2 linked regions of the Lepisosteus oculatus genome follow. The protein of the gene in region 1 purifies or fractionates together with the protein of each later gene. This does not show direct contact. Links are inferred from orthologs where the notes say so. Each region holds a gene or a part of one and is shown on either strand. Other genes may lie near its edges.

The links. The genes of interacting proteins can lie anywhere in the genome.
Region 2: the proteins of dcaf11 (region 1) and cops6 purify together in Homo sapiens (affinity purification with mass spectrometry; 6 studies listed by BioGRID and IntAct, counting the BioPlex papers as one, with this or other methods). This does not show direct contact. The link is inferred for Lepisosteus oculatus from reciprocal best matches to the Homo sapiens genes DCAF11 and COPS6.

What each region holds. Positions count from the first base shown.
Region 1 is NC_090699.1:14,359,358-14,366,591, forward strand, and holds the start of dcaf11 (DDB1- and CUL4-associated factor 11), read left to right. Parts: upstream 1-4,230; 5' UTR 4,231-4,466; intron 4,467-6,372; 5' UTR 6,373-6,381; coding exon 6,382-6,593; intron 6,594-7,234. UniProt on the Homo sapiens protein: May function as a substrate receptor for CUL4-DDB1 E3 ubiquitin-protein ligase complex.
Region 2 is NC_090698.1:12,443,026-12,450,994, reverse strand, and holds the start of cops6 (COP9 signalosome complex subunit 6), read left to right. Parts: upstream 1-4,949; 5' UTR 4,950-5,004; coding exon 5,005-5,047; intron 5,048-6,368; coding exon 6,369-6,494; intron 6,495-6,886; coding exon 6,887-7,018; intron 7,019-7,192; coding exon 7,193-7,281; intron 7,282-7,766; coding exon 7,767-7,829; intron 7,830-7,969. Other genes in the region: F-box/LRR-repeat protein 12, read right to left, coding at 120-929, 1,370-1,445, 3,027-3,127. UniProt on the Homo sapiens protein: Component of the COP9 signalosome complex (CSN), a complex involved in various cellular and developmental processes.

The DNA.
Region 1 (7,234 bases):
GCGCTATAGATTATTTAGGATTAAGGATTATGAAGAGTAAGGATTATTGTTAAACTTCTTTACTTACACCTGTTGATCGGTTGAGAGCCGGCTGGCCTCTGGAAACCAAGCTGAAGGTCCCGTTGCTCGTCCTGCCCTGCGGACAGAGGAAAGCTCTTCCCGAAGCCCGTTGCCCGGGAGCCTGCAGAGGGCTGTGGGATCGAGGTGGGCGCTCAGTGGTGGCGCCCTGCTGGGCTCCCAGCTGCCACAGGGGTCTGAAAGGCCCTCCAGGGCCTCGACAGCTGAGGGCCACAGCGTTCTAAGGCCGAGTTGGTCAATGGTGGCCGAGTGATGTGAACCAGCAGACGTTCGATCTGATGTGATCTGATGTGATCTAAAATACTTTTGGATGAAAGTGCTACAGAATGGTGAGAGAAGTCTTTTGCGGGCTCCGAAGGAGTTCGGGTGTCTCAGACCACACCAGCGCTGTATGCGATTACTCCACAAGAAACTTGAGTTCATCGTCCAACGCAGTGGACTACACCACCAGACCCCCCACCATGGATCGCTGTGGGAATGATGTTTTTCAAATCAACAGTCATTTCTTTTGTTTCTGACACCTTTATAAAATAAGATACGATCACTTTATTGGCCCTATACAATCGCTTGCATTAGGAATTTGTCTTTTCCCAGACCCCAGCTTGTTCTCCATGAGACACACAGACAGGGGAAGAAGCTGGGGGTCAGAGCGCAGGGTCAGCCATTTGTACAGCACCCTTAGAGGGGCTGGGGTGAAGGGCCTGGCAGTAGGATTCCTCTGCCAGCCGTGGGATTCGAACCGGCAGCCTTCCAGTCACAGGCGCAGATCCTGAGCCACAGAGCCACCACACCACCCTTCATCTCCTGGTAAGAAGTATCAGACCAGTTGCCGAATTCATCCGGACTGGGTCTGTGTGCTCATCCAGGCTCTGAGAGGAGGGACACTAGTACACTCTCACCAGCAGGCCTGGTGATGTAATGATTTTCAGAGTTGCTTCGATGGCTACCGCCATCGCTATATAAGAGGAAGAGAAGGGGGAAATAGCACCGCCTGGTGGTGATCCAGCAGAACTACAAATGGAGTCAGAGGCCAAACCATTAACAGATACATTTTGTGTTTTATTGGCCAGAAAACTAACGATGCACATGATCAGCTGATGATCCCATCTGAAACCTGTGATTAGGTTTTCAACCAAAATGTGTGGCTGCATTGTGTGAAAGGCTGATGAGGACACAGCAAACACAAGTCTGGCAGCTGATTTATTCTAAGTGCTTATACAGAATCAATCAAAGGTTCAATCAATCAGTCGGAGTTTATTTATCAAACGCACAACAATACCACGTGCAGCAGTAGTTGCTGGCAGTGAAATGTCTGTTCTACAAGCTCACGGGGGGGGAATCACAAAATTAAAGTTGCAAAATAAGGTGAAATAATGATCGATAACAGTGCACTAGAAATTGAATGAGATAAAGTCAGACAGAGCTCAGTATAGATATCAATGGAGCTGCTCTGTGTCCAGGGTGTGTGCAGTACAGTGTGTCCCAGTAGTGCAGTTATGCTGAATACGGTGAAACTGTGTGTCCCTGTAGCCAGTACAGGTGATTTGCTGAAGGAGCTGCAGCTTGGCTGTTTAGCGGTCTTATTGCCTGGAGGTAGAAGCTGTTCCCTGATCTGTCGGACTTTGACCGAATGCGTAAGAGAAAACAGTTTGTGACTGGGATGACTGGGGTCCTCGAGAATGGACCTGGACTTCTAAAAGAAAAATCTTAGCATCATGGGCTCCCCTTCCAGGACAGCAGGCCAACTGGAGGGGGCCGGGACCTGACTGTACTGCGGCCATGGTATGGGACTGGCCTGCTTCTTCAAGAGTCCTGCTCGCTCATGGAGCCAGAGCTGTTGGCCTCAAGTCAAGTCTAGTCCTCTTAGGAACGGGTACGGGTGTCTAGAGCTTCCGAACAGCCCACTGCCCACCAGACAGCACCAGTGTCTACAGCAGGGGCCCCCAGTCCTGGATTAATAATAATAATAATAATAATAATAATAATAAAATAATTCCTTACACTTATATGGGACAATGTGCAGCTGGATGATGAGACAGCAGCTAGACCAGTGTCTACAGCAGGGGCTCCCAGTCAATTATTATTATTATCATCAACAATAATAATAATCTGTTATTGCTGTAGACTAGTGTCTACAGCAGGGCTCCAAGTCCTGGTAAAAGAACAACAATAATAATAATAATAATAATAATAATAATAATAATAATGTCTCCTGCAGGGGCTCCATCACACCTGAGCTGGACTGGTGTCCTGTCCAGGGTGTGTGTGTGTGTGTGTGTGTGTCCTGTGATGGACTGGTGTCCTGTCCAGGGTGCGTGAGAGTGTGTGTCTGTGTGTGTCCTGTGATGGACTGATGTCCTGTCCAGGGTGCGTGAGAGTGTGTGTCTGTGTGTGTCCTGGGATGGACTGGCGTCCTGTCCAGTGTGTGTGAGAGTGTGTGTGTGTGTGTGTGTCCTGTGATGGACTGGTGTCCTGTCCAGGGTGTGTGAGTGTGTGTCTGTGTGTGTCCTGTGATGGACTGGTGTCCTGTCCAGGGTGTGTGAGAGTGTGTGTGTGTCCTGTGATGGACTGGTGTCCTGTCCAGGATGCGTGAGAGTGTGTCTGTGTGTGTCCTGTGATGGACTGGTATCCTGTCCAGGGTGTGTGAGAGTGTGTGTCTGTGTGTTTCCTGTGATGGACTGGTGTCCTGTCCAGGGTGCGTGAGAGTGTGTGTCTGTGTGTGTCCTGGGATGGACTGGCGTCCTGTCCAGTGTGTGTGTGAGAGTGTGTGTGTGTGTGTGTGTCCTGTGATGGACTGGTGTCCTGTCCAGGGTGTGTGAGAGTGTTTGTCTGTGTGTGTCCTGCAATGGACCCATGTCCTGTCCAGGGTGTGTGAGAGTGTTTGTCTGTGTGTGTCCTGCGATGGACCCATGTCCTGTCCAGGGTGTGTGAGAGTGTGTGTGTGTCTGTGTGTGTCCTGTGGTGGACTGGTGTCCTGTCCAGGGTGTGTGAGAGTGTGTGTCTGTGTGTGTCCTGTGATGGACTGGCGTCCTGTCCAGGGTGTGTGACAGTGTGTGTGTGTGTCCTGTGATGGACTGGCGTCCTGTCCAGGGTGTGTGAGTGTGTGTCTTTGTGTGTCCTGTGATGGACTGGCGTCCTGTCCAGGGTGTGTGACAGTGTGTGTGTGTGTGTGTGTGTGTGTGTGTGTGTCCTGTGATGGACTGGTGTCCTGTCCAGGGTGTGTGAGAGTGTGTGTCTGTGTGTGTCCTGTGGTGGACTGGTGTCCTGTCCAGGGTGTGTGAGTGTGTGTCTGTGTGTGTCGTGTGATGGACTGGTGTCCTGCCCAGGGTGTGTGAGAGTGTGTGTCTGTGTGTGTGTCCTGTGATGGACTGGTGTCCTGTCCAGGGTGTGTGAGAGAGTGTGTCTGTGTGTGTCCTGTGATGGACTGGCGTCCTGTCCAGGGTGTGTGAGAGTGTGTGTCTGTGTGTGTCCTGTGATGGACTGGTGTTCTTCCTTGTGGCCCTTGCCTGCTGCAGCTCTCCCACACGACCCTGTACCTGATAAAGTTGGATGGAACACAAGACAGGTCTCAAACGAGACGAGGCCACTCGGTTCATCCAACCTGTTTGGTAATTAGTTTTGTAATTAGTGGCTCATTAACCCCAAGATCTCATCCAGCTGTTTCTTGAGAGCAGCCAGGGTATCGGCTTCAGGAACATGGCTGGGCAGCTTGTTACACACTCCCACCACTCTTTGTGTAAAGAAGGGAAAACTCATAGGCTTCTCTATTTGTCAGTGTACGAAACTGTCAAACCCCAGAATGTATCAGGTTGCAATATCTATTGCACATTGTCTGATGAATTTAAATTAATTGCACTTATGTATCACATTTCAGTTAACTCTTGAATTTGTTACCAGAAAAGAGGAAAAATAAATTAACTGGACCGTATCCTTCCACTTACTGCGAGGTGACGTCAGGATCAGCCAATCACCGTGTGGGATGCGGTGACAGACGGATTGATGTCACTTCAGAGAGTGACAGTTCTGGAGCTCCGCTTCCACCCGTCGGACGGCCATTTTGGCTCCAGTTTCCAACTGCGCGCTGGCAATCCATGTCAACGAGGAAGCAAAATGGAGCCCTTCGGTGGCTGGGTGTCCTTGGCGATGGGCCGGTCATGTGACCGCGGCGGGGGCAAAGCTCGTCGATGTAAACAACATGGCGACTCGGAGAGAAAAGACCGGGGCCTACCTGGGGATTATTCCTTAACGTAAACTCAAGCAGTGACAATAAAAAAAAACCCAAGCAGTATCGATTCGCTAGTATTGATAAGCCTATTGATTGTTAAAGGAAGAACGTGCAAGACAACAACGCGATCCGCGAACGAAGCCCTAAATACAAATTTCACCAGGTACTGTATTTTCTATTTATCTGTTGAGTTTCTTGTTAAGTGTTCATTGAGCCTTTTTATGATTGTCATTTTCGGAAGGGGATTAATTCACTGAAATAGACGCGAGTCTTCCCGTGTCGTCGGTGTAACATAACGATACATTTAATTTGATTAGATAATTAGCTTGGTTAATTAGTCGAGGAGTATAAGGAAAGCATTTTGACACTGAACAACTGCCGTTTCGATTTTGGCGAGTGAGGAAACTAGACGAATTACTGATTAACCCCTCTCTCCCAGTGCAGTGTTAATGTACTGGAGTGTCCAGTCAGTCAGTGTGTCTGTATGAACCCCTCTCTCTCAGTGCAGTGTTAATGTACTGGAGTGTCCAGTCAGTGTGTCTGTATGAACCCCTCTCTCTCAGTGCAGTGTTAATGTACTGGAGTGTCCAGTCAGTCAGTGTGTCTGTATGAACCCCTCTCTCTCAGTGCAGTGTTAATGTACTGGAGTGTCCAGTCAGTCAATGTGTCTGTATGAACCCCTCTCTCTCAGTGCAGTGTTAATGTACTGGAGTGTCCAGTCAGTGTGTCTGTATGAACCCCTCTCTCTCAGTGCAGTGTTAATGTACTGGAGTGTCCAGTCAGTCAGTGTGTCTGTATGAACCCCTCTCTCTCAGTGCAGTGTTAATGTACTGGAGTGTCCAGTCAGTGTGTCTGTATGAACCCCTCTCTCTCAGTGCAGTGTTAATGTACTGGAGTGTCCAGTCAGTCAGTGTGTCTGTATGAACCCCTCTCTCTCAGTGCAGTGTTAATGTACTGGAGTGTCCAGTCAGTGTGTCTGTATGAACCCCTCTCTCTCAGTGCAGTGTTAATGTACTGGAGTGTCCAGTCAGTCAGTGTGTCTGTATGAACCCCTCTCTCTCAGTGCAGTGTTAATGTACTGGAGTGTCCAGTCAGTGTGTCTGTATGAACCCCTCTCTCTCAGTGCAGTGTTAATGTACTGGAGTGTCCAGTCAGTCAGTGTGTCTGCATGAACCCCTCTCTCTCAGTGCAGTGTTAATGTACTGGAGTGTCCAGTCAGTCAATGTGTCTGTATGAACCCCTCTCTCTCAGTGCAGTGTTAATGTACTGGAGTGTCCAGTCAGTCAGTGTGTCTGTATTAACCCCTCTCTCTCAGTGCAGTGTTAATGTACTGGAGTGTCCAGTCAGTCAGTGTGTCTGTATGAACCCCTCTCTCTCAGTGCAGTGTTAATGTACTGGAGTGTCCAGTCAGTCAGTGTGTCTGTATGAACCCCTCTCTCTCAGTGCAGTGTTAATGTACTGGAGTGTCCAGTCAGTGTGTCTGTATGAACCCCTCTCTCTCAGTGCAGTGTTAATGTACTGGAGTGTCCAGTCAGTGTGTCTGTATGAACCCCTCTCTCTCAGTGCAGTGTTAATGTACTGGAGTGTCCAGTCAGTGTGTCTGTATTAACCCCTCTCTCTCAATGCAGTGTTAATGTACTGGAGTGTCCAGTCAGTGTGTCTGTATTAACCCCTCTCTCTCGGTGCAGTGTTAATGTACTGGAGTGTCCAGTCAGTGTGTCTGTATGAACCCCTCTCTCTCAGTGCAGTGTTAATGTACTGGAGTGTCCAGTTAGTGTGTCTGTATGAACCCCTCTCTCTCAGTACAGTGTTAATGTACTGGAGTGTCCAGTCAGTCAGTGTGTCTGTATGAACCCCTCTCTCTCAGTGCAGTGTTAATGTACTGGAGTGTCCAGTCAGTCAGTGTGTCTGTATGAACCCCTCTCTCTCAGTGCAGTGTTAATGTACTGGAGTGTCCAGTCAGTCAGTGTGTCTGTATGAACCCCTCTCTCTCAGTGCAGTGTTAATGTACTGGAGTGTCCAGTCAGTCAGTGTGTCTGTGTTAATTCCTGTCTTTACCTTTCTCAAAGTGTCGGTCTATGGGCTCTCAGTCCAGTTCTGGGATGTCCGGTCGGGCCTCCAGTGGTGACCCAGACGAGACAGAGCCAGAACGCAGCCAGAACCGGGGCCAGCAAAGCCGCAGACAGGCGAGGAGACAGTTGGACAGAGGGGCAGAGGAGCAGAGCGACAGAGGGTCCGCAGCAGAGGAGGACGTCGACTTAGCGCAAGTGCTGGCGTACCTACTGAGGAGGTAAGAGTGCAGCACTGTGTCTCTCACGGGCTTCCTGCAGGGACACTGAGTCTAGGAGAACAAACTGACACACTGTCCAGACATCCTGACACACTGTCCAGACACTGAGTCTAAGAGAACACACTGACACACTGTACAGACACACTGACACACTGTCCAGACACTGAGTCTAGGAGAACACACTGACACACTGTGTAGACACTCTGACACACTGTCCAGACACTGAGTCTAAGAGAACACACTGACACACTGTACTGACACACTGACACACTGTCCAGAAACTGAGTCTAGGAGAACACACTGACACACTGTCCAGAAACACTGACACACTGACTCACTGTACAGACACACTGACACACTGTACACAGAGTCTAGGAGAACACACTGACACACTGTACAGACACAGAGTCTAGGAGAACACACTGACACACTGTCCAGACACACTGTACACTGAGTCTAGGAAAACACACTGACACACTGTGCAGACACACTGTCCAGACATGCTGACACACTGTACTGACACTGTCAAGGAGAACACACTGACATACTGTGTGGACACACTGTCCAGACACTCTGACACACTGTACTGACACTGAGTCTAGGAGAACACACTGACACACTGTGTGGACACACTGTCCAGA
Region 2 (7,969 bases), on another chromosome or scaffold:
TAATAAATTGCCTGGAAAAAACAAACCCTTTACAAAACAAAGGGAGAGATCTCCAAGAGGCAAATGTCTGACCATTGCTGGCTGACCGAGGGCACTGCCTTTGTCCTGCTTTGTGAGGCCTAACTTTGCACAGCCCTTGCAGTGCAGCGGACGCAAGTCACAGCGCAATGGAGCAAGCCCTGCTGGATGGAGTCCTGGTCGGCGGCGCTGGAGAACGAGACATCGCTGAGCACCACGCTGCGGAGGGAGGGCGCTTCCTGGCAGGCAGGCAGGAGGTCAGCGGGGGACAGGGAGGAGTGCTGGAGCCGCAGGGAACGCAGCCGGGCCAGGCGCGGGAGACAAGGCAGCCCGTTCAGCACTTCAGCCCCACCCAGGGTTAGCTCCACCAGGCCTGGCAGTCCCTCTGCGATGCCCGCCGCCGCCCTCTCGTTCTGCGTGGAGCATCTGCCTTTCCTCCCGAGTTCTAGGCTCTCCAGCTGTGTCAGGTGTCCGCTGGCACAACCACGGATGCCAGCTTCTGTCACCCTGAAGGCATCCCTCAGCTCAAGCCTCCTCAGGGTCTCCCAGTTTCCCAGCGCTTTCAGGTGCTGGTCTGAGAAAGAGGACACGTTTTCCACAACTAAGGTCTCTATCCTGATCCCACTGCTGACACCACTGCTGTGGAAGAATGCCCCCGGCACCTCACAGGTAATGAGCTCTAGCGTCTTCAGAGAGGCAGGCAGGCGCTGGTAGTTGCCCACCTCCTTCAGGTCAGCGTGCAGCAGGATGAGACAGTGCAGCTTGGGACACTGTCTGGCAAGCGCCTGCAGCCAGGGCTGAGAGAGGAGAGCGCGGTTTCTGACGGAAAACAGAAGGCCCCTCAGACAGAGCACTCGCAGTCCGGCGCCCAGGTACCGCCTCACCAGCAACCACAGCAACCTCGAGTTCACCTGTCAGAATGGAAGAAGAAAATCAGGCTGTGCTGTCGGGTGTACTGTCCTGAATTTGGGGCTTCCATTATCAACACAAGAAAAGACCCTCAGTCACTTCCCTCTTTCAGGAGCCTGCTCTGCAGGGCCCGGGCCTGCTGGGACCCGGCATAGGACAACAAAGCGTGTTGGGCTTGGTTATGGCTCAGCTTGACAAAACGAACAGGGCTAGCTGCATCGCGATGGCTCAGCTCGGGCAGGCCAGTGTGAAGAGGGCTAGAACAGATCACAGTCTCCCAGCGGTGACCCCGCACAGTGTGAAGCGCTCCAGTCAGTTATGGGTACGAAGATGCGACAGGTTGCAGATGAAGAGTTCCGGGTAATTCGACTCTCACTGCACTCTGTCGCAGAGCAGCTCCACTGGCAAGTCACAGGAACAGTTGGGCAAGACGGCAACTCACCACGCCGCACTTGGTTAAATCCACACGTCTCCACAGCCTGTGGTCACGGATAAGCCTCTTCCACCTCTTGCACACCCTGCAGTGGGAGAAAAGGTTTATGGAACAAGTCTTGTTATGAGCCCAAAGGTCAAACAGCTACCCAGCGGGCAGAAGATCTCAAATCGGTACTTGCAGAGGAGGTTCCACAGCTTGTTCTGGAGTATATATGAACATAGGGATCCCTCACCAACCCTGAAAAGTCAACACCGGACAAATCAATAAGCTCTTATGGGAAATAACAGCAGTTTCCTGTGACTTTGCCCCTGTAAACGCACTGTTTTAACTGCAACCTACATGCAACAAAATAAAAGTACTGTATAGATACCACACACACCACTAACATAAATTAACCCCAAAACAGAGCCGCTTGGCTCTGTGTCTGTTCAGGTGGCAGGGACTGAAGAGACTCCCGTCTTGGAGAATGTTAGAACCGTCTCAAACTCATCCTGTAACTGCAGAGCCCAGTGTCTTCAGGTTTTCCCCTCAGTCTGAGTCTCATTATTTTCTTATGCAGTTACAGGATATTTCTAAAGCTCTTTCGCAGGCCATTTCTCAAACCTCTGTGACAAGCGGTAAAATTCTGCAGCTAATAAAATAATTAGGCCCACTGTGTAGCCCAGAAGTGGGGAGGCAATGAGCCCAACAGGAACTGAGTCTGACACCTGGTCTAGGGGAACTGGTGCCTCAAACACAGAAAGAAAAGGACACTTGTTTACCTGTTCAGATATGAAGTATCACTTCAAGTCTGGTGTAGCTATGAGCCCAGCTGAGGGTCTCAGCTGACATCACAATCATTTCAAAACCTCCGTTTTGTCTTGACAGATCAGTGGACACTTGATCTACCTTCAAGTGATCAATTTGATCTCCTGACTCTCTCAATACAGTTACTTACATTGTTCGGATCTACTCCAGCCTACTTCTGAAGTAGCTAGAGGTGCTTTTTCATGCAGAAAATAACTAATGTATATATTTTATACATTCTAGAATATAAACATTGTATAATATATACATGACCCATACATCACGGACAAAGAGAAGAATACACGTTACGTATTATAACACCCCATATAAGCCAATGATTACATCATGTTATGTAATGTATTCTTTTACTAGCGTTAGGAAATCTGTTTAAAGCAAACGGCCGATGCAAACACACAAAGACATTCAAATACAAACTTATACACAAATTCATTATACTCGCATATAATGATACTAATACAAACACGCGTCTACACTTGAAAACACAGACTATAGTTGGGAAATATCAATAAGAATGAATGTAAAGGTGTGAATTGACAGCCACGAACGCAGACATTGACTTCTCTGTCATTTGTCATGAGGAAATCGTAGTCTCATTAAAAGGCATGTTTTGGGGAACGCAACTACAGCGCTGAGGATTTACTGTAGTTGGGTTTTAATGGCGTCGTCATCCAGGACCACGAACTGCATTTCCGAACCAGTTGAGTATATCTTGATTATCACTGGGACCACAGTGAAGTCCTGCACTACACCAACTCCTAAAACAACAGGTGTGTCCGGGGCAAGAGTCACCCTGTAGTTAAAGCACCACTTTCAGTGACACATAAACATATGCCGGTAGTGACTTGAGAATCCTCACCTGGCTGCTCTCAGCAAGTCTCGCACGTTTAGGTACGATAAGATGTCTAATAAAATGTTTTCCGGGAAGTAATCCAAAGAACCGCTACCCTCAGCGGCCATTCTAGTCTGTAAACAAAAGGACCACCGCTGTTGACTTTACCGGGTAGGAACGTCAGGAACTAGTCCCGCCCCTATCTGTGGGCTGGCGCTGCGATTGGTCACAGTCCGACCTTGGGAGCTACCATTGGTTAATCAATGGTGTCACTTGATTGGTGATCAAGCTGAATGACGTAATTAGTGAGCGCTTGAAGTTGACGTTGACGTGTTTGACGTTTCAGGTTTCCCCTTAAAAATGTCGGTGTGGTCCAGTTCAAAATATGCATTACTCCGTAGCCACAAGCTGAGTAGATAAGACAATAAATAACACGCTTTCTCGCTCAATGCGACAGGAACACAAAATATCTGCCGGAGCATTGTTTTTTGTAAAATACATTATACCCCTTTTCCTGCTACGAAATGAGAATAAAACTCGCGGTTGAACTAGTTGGTCAAGTTCTTTGTTATATAAAACCCACTCACTACTAATCACAGAGCTCCTAGAAGCGGTGCATTGCTCCATGAATTAAAAAAAAGAAGTAAAGATCAAACTGCTGGTCGCAGCTAATCCATCCCAGAAACTCACCCCGTCTTTACTCGCAGGTTTGCTCCAGACATCGGCAACTCTTTGGCTAAAAACATGCACTCCGCGTCTCTAGTTTTGCTTGCTGGTTTGCTTAATTGGGTGTTATAATTTGTGTGGATCTTGTCTCAGCTGTGTGATTGTTTTATTGTACACCATTTTGAAATTTCACACCACGGAAGGCTATTAACGGTTATTGTATTAATACAATTTGATCTCCTGACTCTCTCAATACAGTTACTTACATTGTTCGGATCCAGCCTACTTCTGGAGTAGCTAGAGGTGCTTTTTCATGCAGAAAATAACTAATGTATATATTTTATACATTCTAGAATATAAACATTGTATAATATATACATGACCCATACATCACGGACAAAGAGAAGAATACACATTACGTATTATAACACCCAATATAAGCCAATGATTACATCATGTTATGTAATGTATTCTTTTACTATATTAATCCAAATGCAAGAACCAAAATCCCTCACAGTCTCAATTCTTTCAGTTCCTTCACTCCGTGTTTCAGCGCTTTCAGAGTTGAAGGTAGACTCACTCACTGAGCCTTTCCAAGAAAGGAATTTCAGCTTCAGGACTATGCTAATATGCAGCTATATCACCCTGCAGCTCACAACTAGCAACCCCCCTGAAGCTAAGCAGGTGTGAGCCTGGTCAGTACCTGGATGGGAGACCTCCTGGGAAAAACTAAGGCTGCTGCTGGAAGAGGTGTTAGTGGGGCCAGCAGGGGGCGCCCACCCTGCAGTCCATGTGGATCCTAATGCCCCATTATAGCGACAGGTACACTATACTGTAAAAAAGACCTTTGTATGAGATGTAAAAGTTAGGTCCTGACTCTCTGTGGTCATTAAAAATACCAGGGTGTTTCTCAAAAAGAGCAGGAGTGTAACTCCTGGCGAAATTTCTCATTGCCGTTTTTACCAATCTTGGCTATCCTAATAATCCCCATCTATGAATTGGCTTCATCATTCTGCTCTCCTCCCTACAGATAGCTGGTGTGTGGTGAGTGTTCTGGTTCACTCTGGCTGCCGTCGCATCATCCAGGTGGGGCTGCACATTGGTGGTGGTGGAGGGGAGACCCCATTACCTGTAAAGCACTTTGAGTGGAGTGTCCAGAAAAGCGCTATAACAGTATAAGCAATTATTATTATTACAATTATTATTATTATTAATTATTATTAGGGGGAGCAGGCCCCTCTACTGGCGACAGGGTAATAGTGCACAAGTACGTCCCTCCTCGTGGCCTACTGCACATGCGCGTCCCGGGTGCGCCAGTGTGAGCTGCGCGGAGATCAAGATGGCGGCGAGCAACGGCGGGGGAATGGAAGTAGATGCGGCAGGTAATACATTCTCTGCTTTCAAGTACATTTCATTTTAACTTAAAAAATGGTAACATTCGTGGACAGCTGGTGTCTCAAAACATTCTCATTTCGGGGACTAATAATAACGAAGCGCGAGATAAAAATGATTTTGTCTTGGTATAAACCGGGTATAGCGATGTTTTTAACAGCTGCCCTTCACATACATACTGATTGGTCAAGGAGCTGTGTATTCTTCTGTTTGATTGGACGACTGTGAGTACGTACCGCCCTTTTTCTGAAAGAAGTGTATTGATTGGCTTAATTTGGTGTCACTCTTGTTTTTGACGATTCCAAACACTTCACTAATCTGTTGTGTCTGTGTACAGTAGTTTAAGAAATTTGGAAATTAATAAGTATTTGTCATCAATCTGTTAATTTTATGGAGTTATAAAGCTTACGAAGATACATTTAGTGATTCTTGTATAATTTATTTGAGAATCGCCCCTGATCTGTTTTTTTTTTATTGAAAGAACCGGCAAACTGACTCGTGTTTTATTAAGAAAATACGTGATGCAAATAAGAAGGCATTCGATAGATAATTGATCTAGCGGGATTTTGAATGAAGCCAGGGTGTCAGCTTCAGCAAGGTGGCTGAGTAGCTTGTTTTTAAACCACTTTGTGTGCGGAACTGTCACTTGGTTTCTCTGTATTGTGTTTGAAATGTTAGATCCCAGGTGATCACACACAGCCTATCCTATACCATTGTTAATATACTGTAGTGTCCAGCGTGTCTGTATTAACCCCTCTCGCTCCCAGTGCAGTGTTAATGTACTCAGCCATATCACCCTGCAACTCACAACTGGCAGCCCACTGAAGCTAAGCAGGTGTGAGCCTAGTCACCCTCACCCTGCAGTCCATGTGGGTCCTAATGCCCCAGTATAGTGACGGGGACACTAGACTGTAAACCTGGATGAGATGTAAAACCTGTGGTCATTAAAAATCCTAGGGTGTTTCTCGAAAAGAGTAGGGGTGTAACCCCGGCATCCTGGCCAAATTTCCCATTGGCCCTTACCAATCATGGCCTCCTAATAATCCCCCTCTATGAATTGGCTTCATTACTCTGCTCTCCTCCCCACTGATAGCTGATGTGTGGTGAGAGTACTGGCACACTATGGCTGCCGTCGCATCATCCAGGTGGATGCTGCACATTGGAAGTGGTGGAGGGGAGTCCCCATTACCTGTAAAGCACTTTGAGTGGAGTGTCCAGAAAAGCGCTATATAACTGTAAGCAATTATTAATTATTATTATTATTACTGTAGTGTCCAGTGTGTCAGTACTAATCCTTTCTCCTTCTCTCAGTCAGTCCCAGTGTCATGGCATCTGGGGTGACGGGCAGCGTTTCAGTGGCTCTTCACCCCCTTGTCATCCTCAACATCTCTGACCACTGGATCCGCATGCGATCACAGGAGGGACGGGCCGTGCAAGGTCAGAGTGTCTCGGAGGGGCTTTCCAGCTTCTCCATTGCTTGTCTTGTAACAAATGACAGTGTGGAAAGTCATCTGCAAAAGCCAACTGTTTCTGTAACTTTGGTTCTTTGTGCAGATTAAATCCAACTACTGTCTGTAAATGTATGAACAAGGATATTCTTGGTTAAAGGTGGATTGTGTGCCTGGGATTTTAGTGATGCAGTGGATGTGATCTGTATCAGTGTCTGTGGAGTCTGTGTCAGTGTGTGCTGACTGTGTGTGTGGACACTGTCAGTGTGGAGTCTGTGTCAGTGTGTGTGGACACTGTCAGTGCCTGCTGACTGTGTGTGGAGTCTGTGTCAGTGTGTGCTCACAATGTGTGTGCTGATTCGGTGCGTTGTTCCCACACAGTGATCGGAGCCCTGATTGGGAAGCAGGAAGGCCGGAACATCGAGGTGATGAACTCGTTTGAGCTGCTTTTCCACACAGTGGATGACCGAGCCGTCATTGACAAGGAATACTACTACACCAAGGAGGAGCAGTGTGAGTGGGGCGTGGGTCAGTGGGAGAGCGTGGGTGTCGGACAGTGGGCCTGATGGGCATGTTTTTAATTTTGAATCTGTTGCATTGCTTTGAAACAAATAATCTTCAATTTTCTTCCCTCTCTCCTCCTGATGTTCCCTCTTATTCCTCTCTCTCTCCGGCTCCATCTCTCAGTTAAGCAGGTGTTCAAGGACATGGAGTTCTTGGGCTGGTACACAACAGGCGGGCCTCCTGACCAATCAGATATCCACATTCACAAGCAGGTGGGTGGGTGCTCAGGCGGCAGTCCAGTGGTCACTGGAGAATGATCACATCAGGACATTGCAGCTGCAGCTCATCCTGCATTGTCAAGTCTCCGATCATTCAGTTACGAAGCCGTCACCATCACACCATCAATAATTTGCTCACCTGCTGTTTCTCTCGGTGCTCTTCATTGTCTTTATTGGTTCTAGCAGTGTCCGCCCTGCTGTGTACATCTGATTATGTGCTGGATGTTCTCTTCACTTAGAAGTCAGGGTCATCTTGTAGCTGCTCAGACCGACTAGTGGCTCCTCCTAGGGCTGGTCTCCTGATCTGCACACGTTTCATGTGAGCCGGTTCTATGCCTGCAGCTCTTCTGTAATGAGTCCAAGCTTATGCAGGCTGGGACACGGGTACAGTACAGGGGAACCAGCTTTGCTGCAGCATGCCTAGTGGGTTCAGAGTGTCTTAACACTGTCTATCTCTGCCTCTCTCTCCCCCCGGGCAGGTTTGTGAGATCATCGAGAGCCCCCTGTTCCTCAAACTGAACCCCATGACCAAACACACTGATGTGAGTTTTGACTGCCTGGGATTGTGGGGGGTCAGGGTTGTTGGTGTTAATTCTCGGAGTATGCCGGCGTGACTGGTGTTACATTGCCAATAACATATCATACTGAAGTCTGCAGAGCTGGTGCTCCAGTGTTCCAGGTT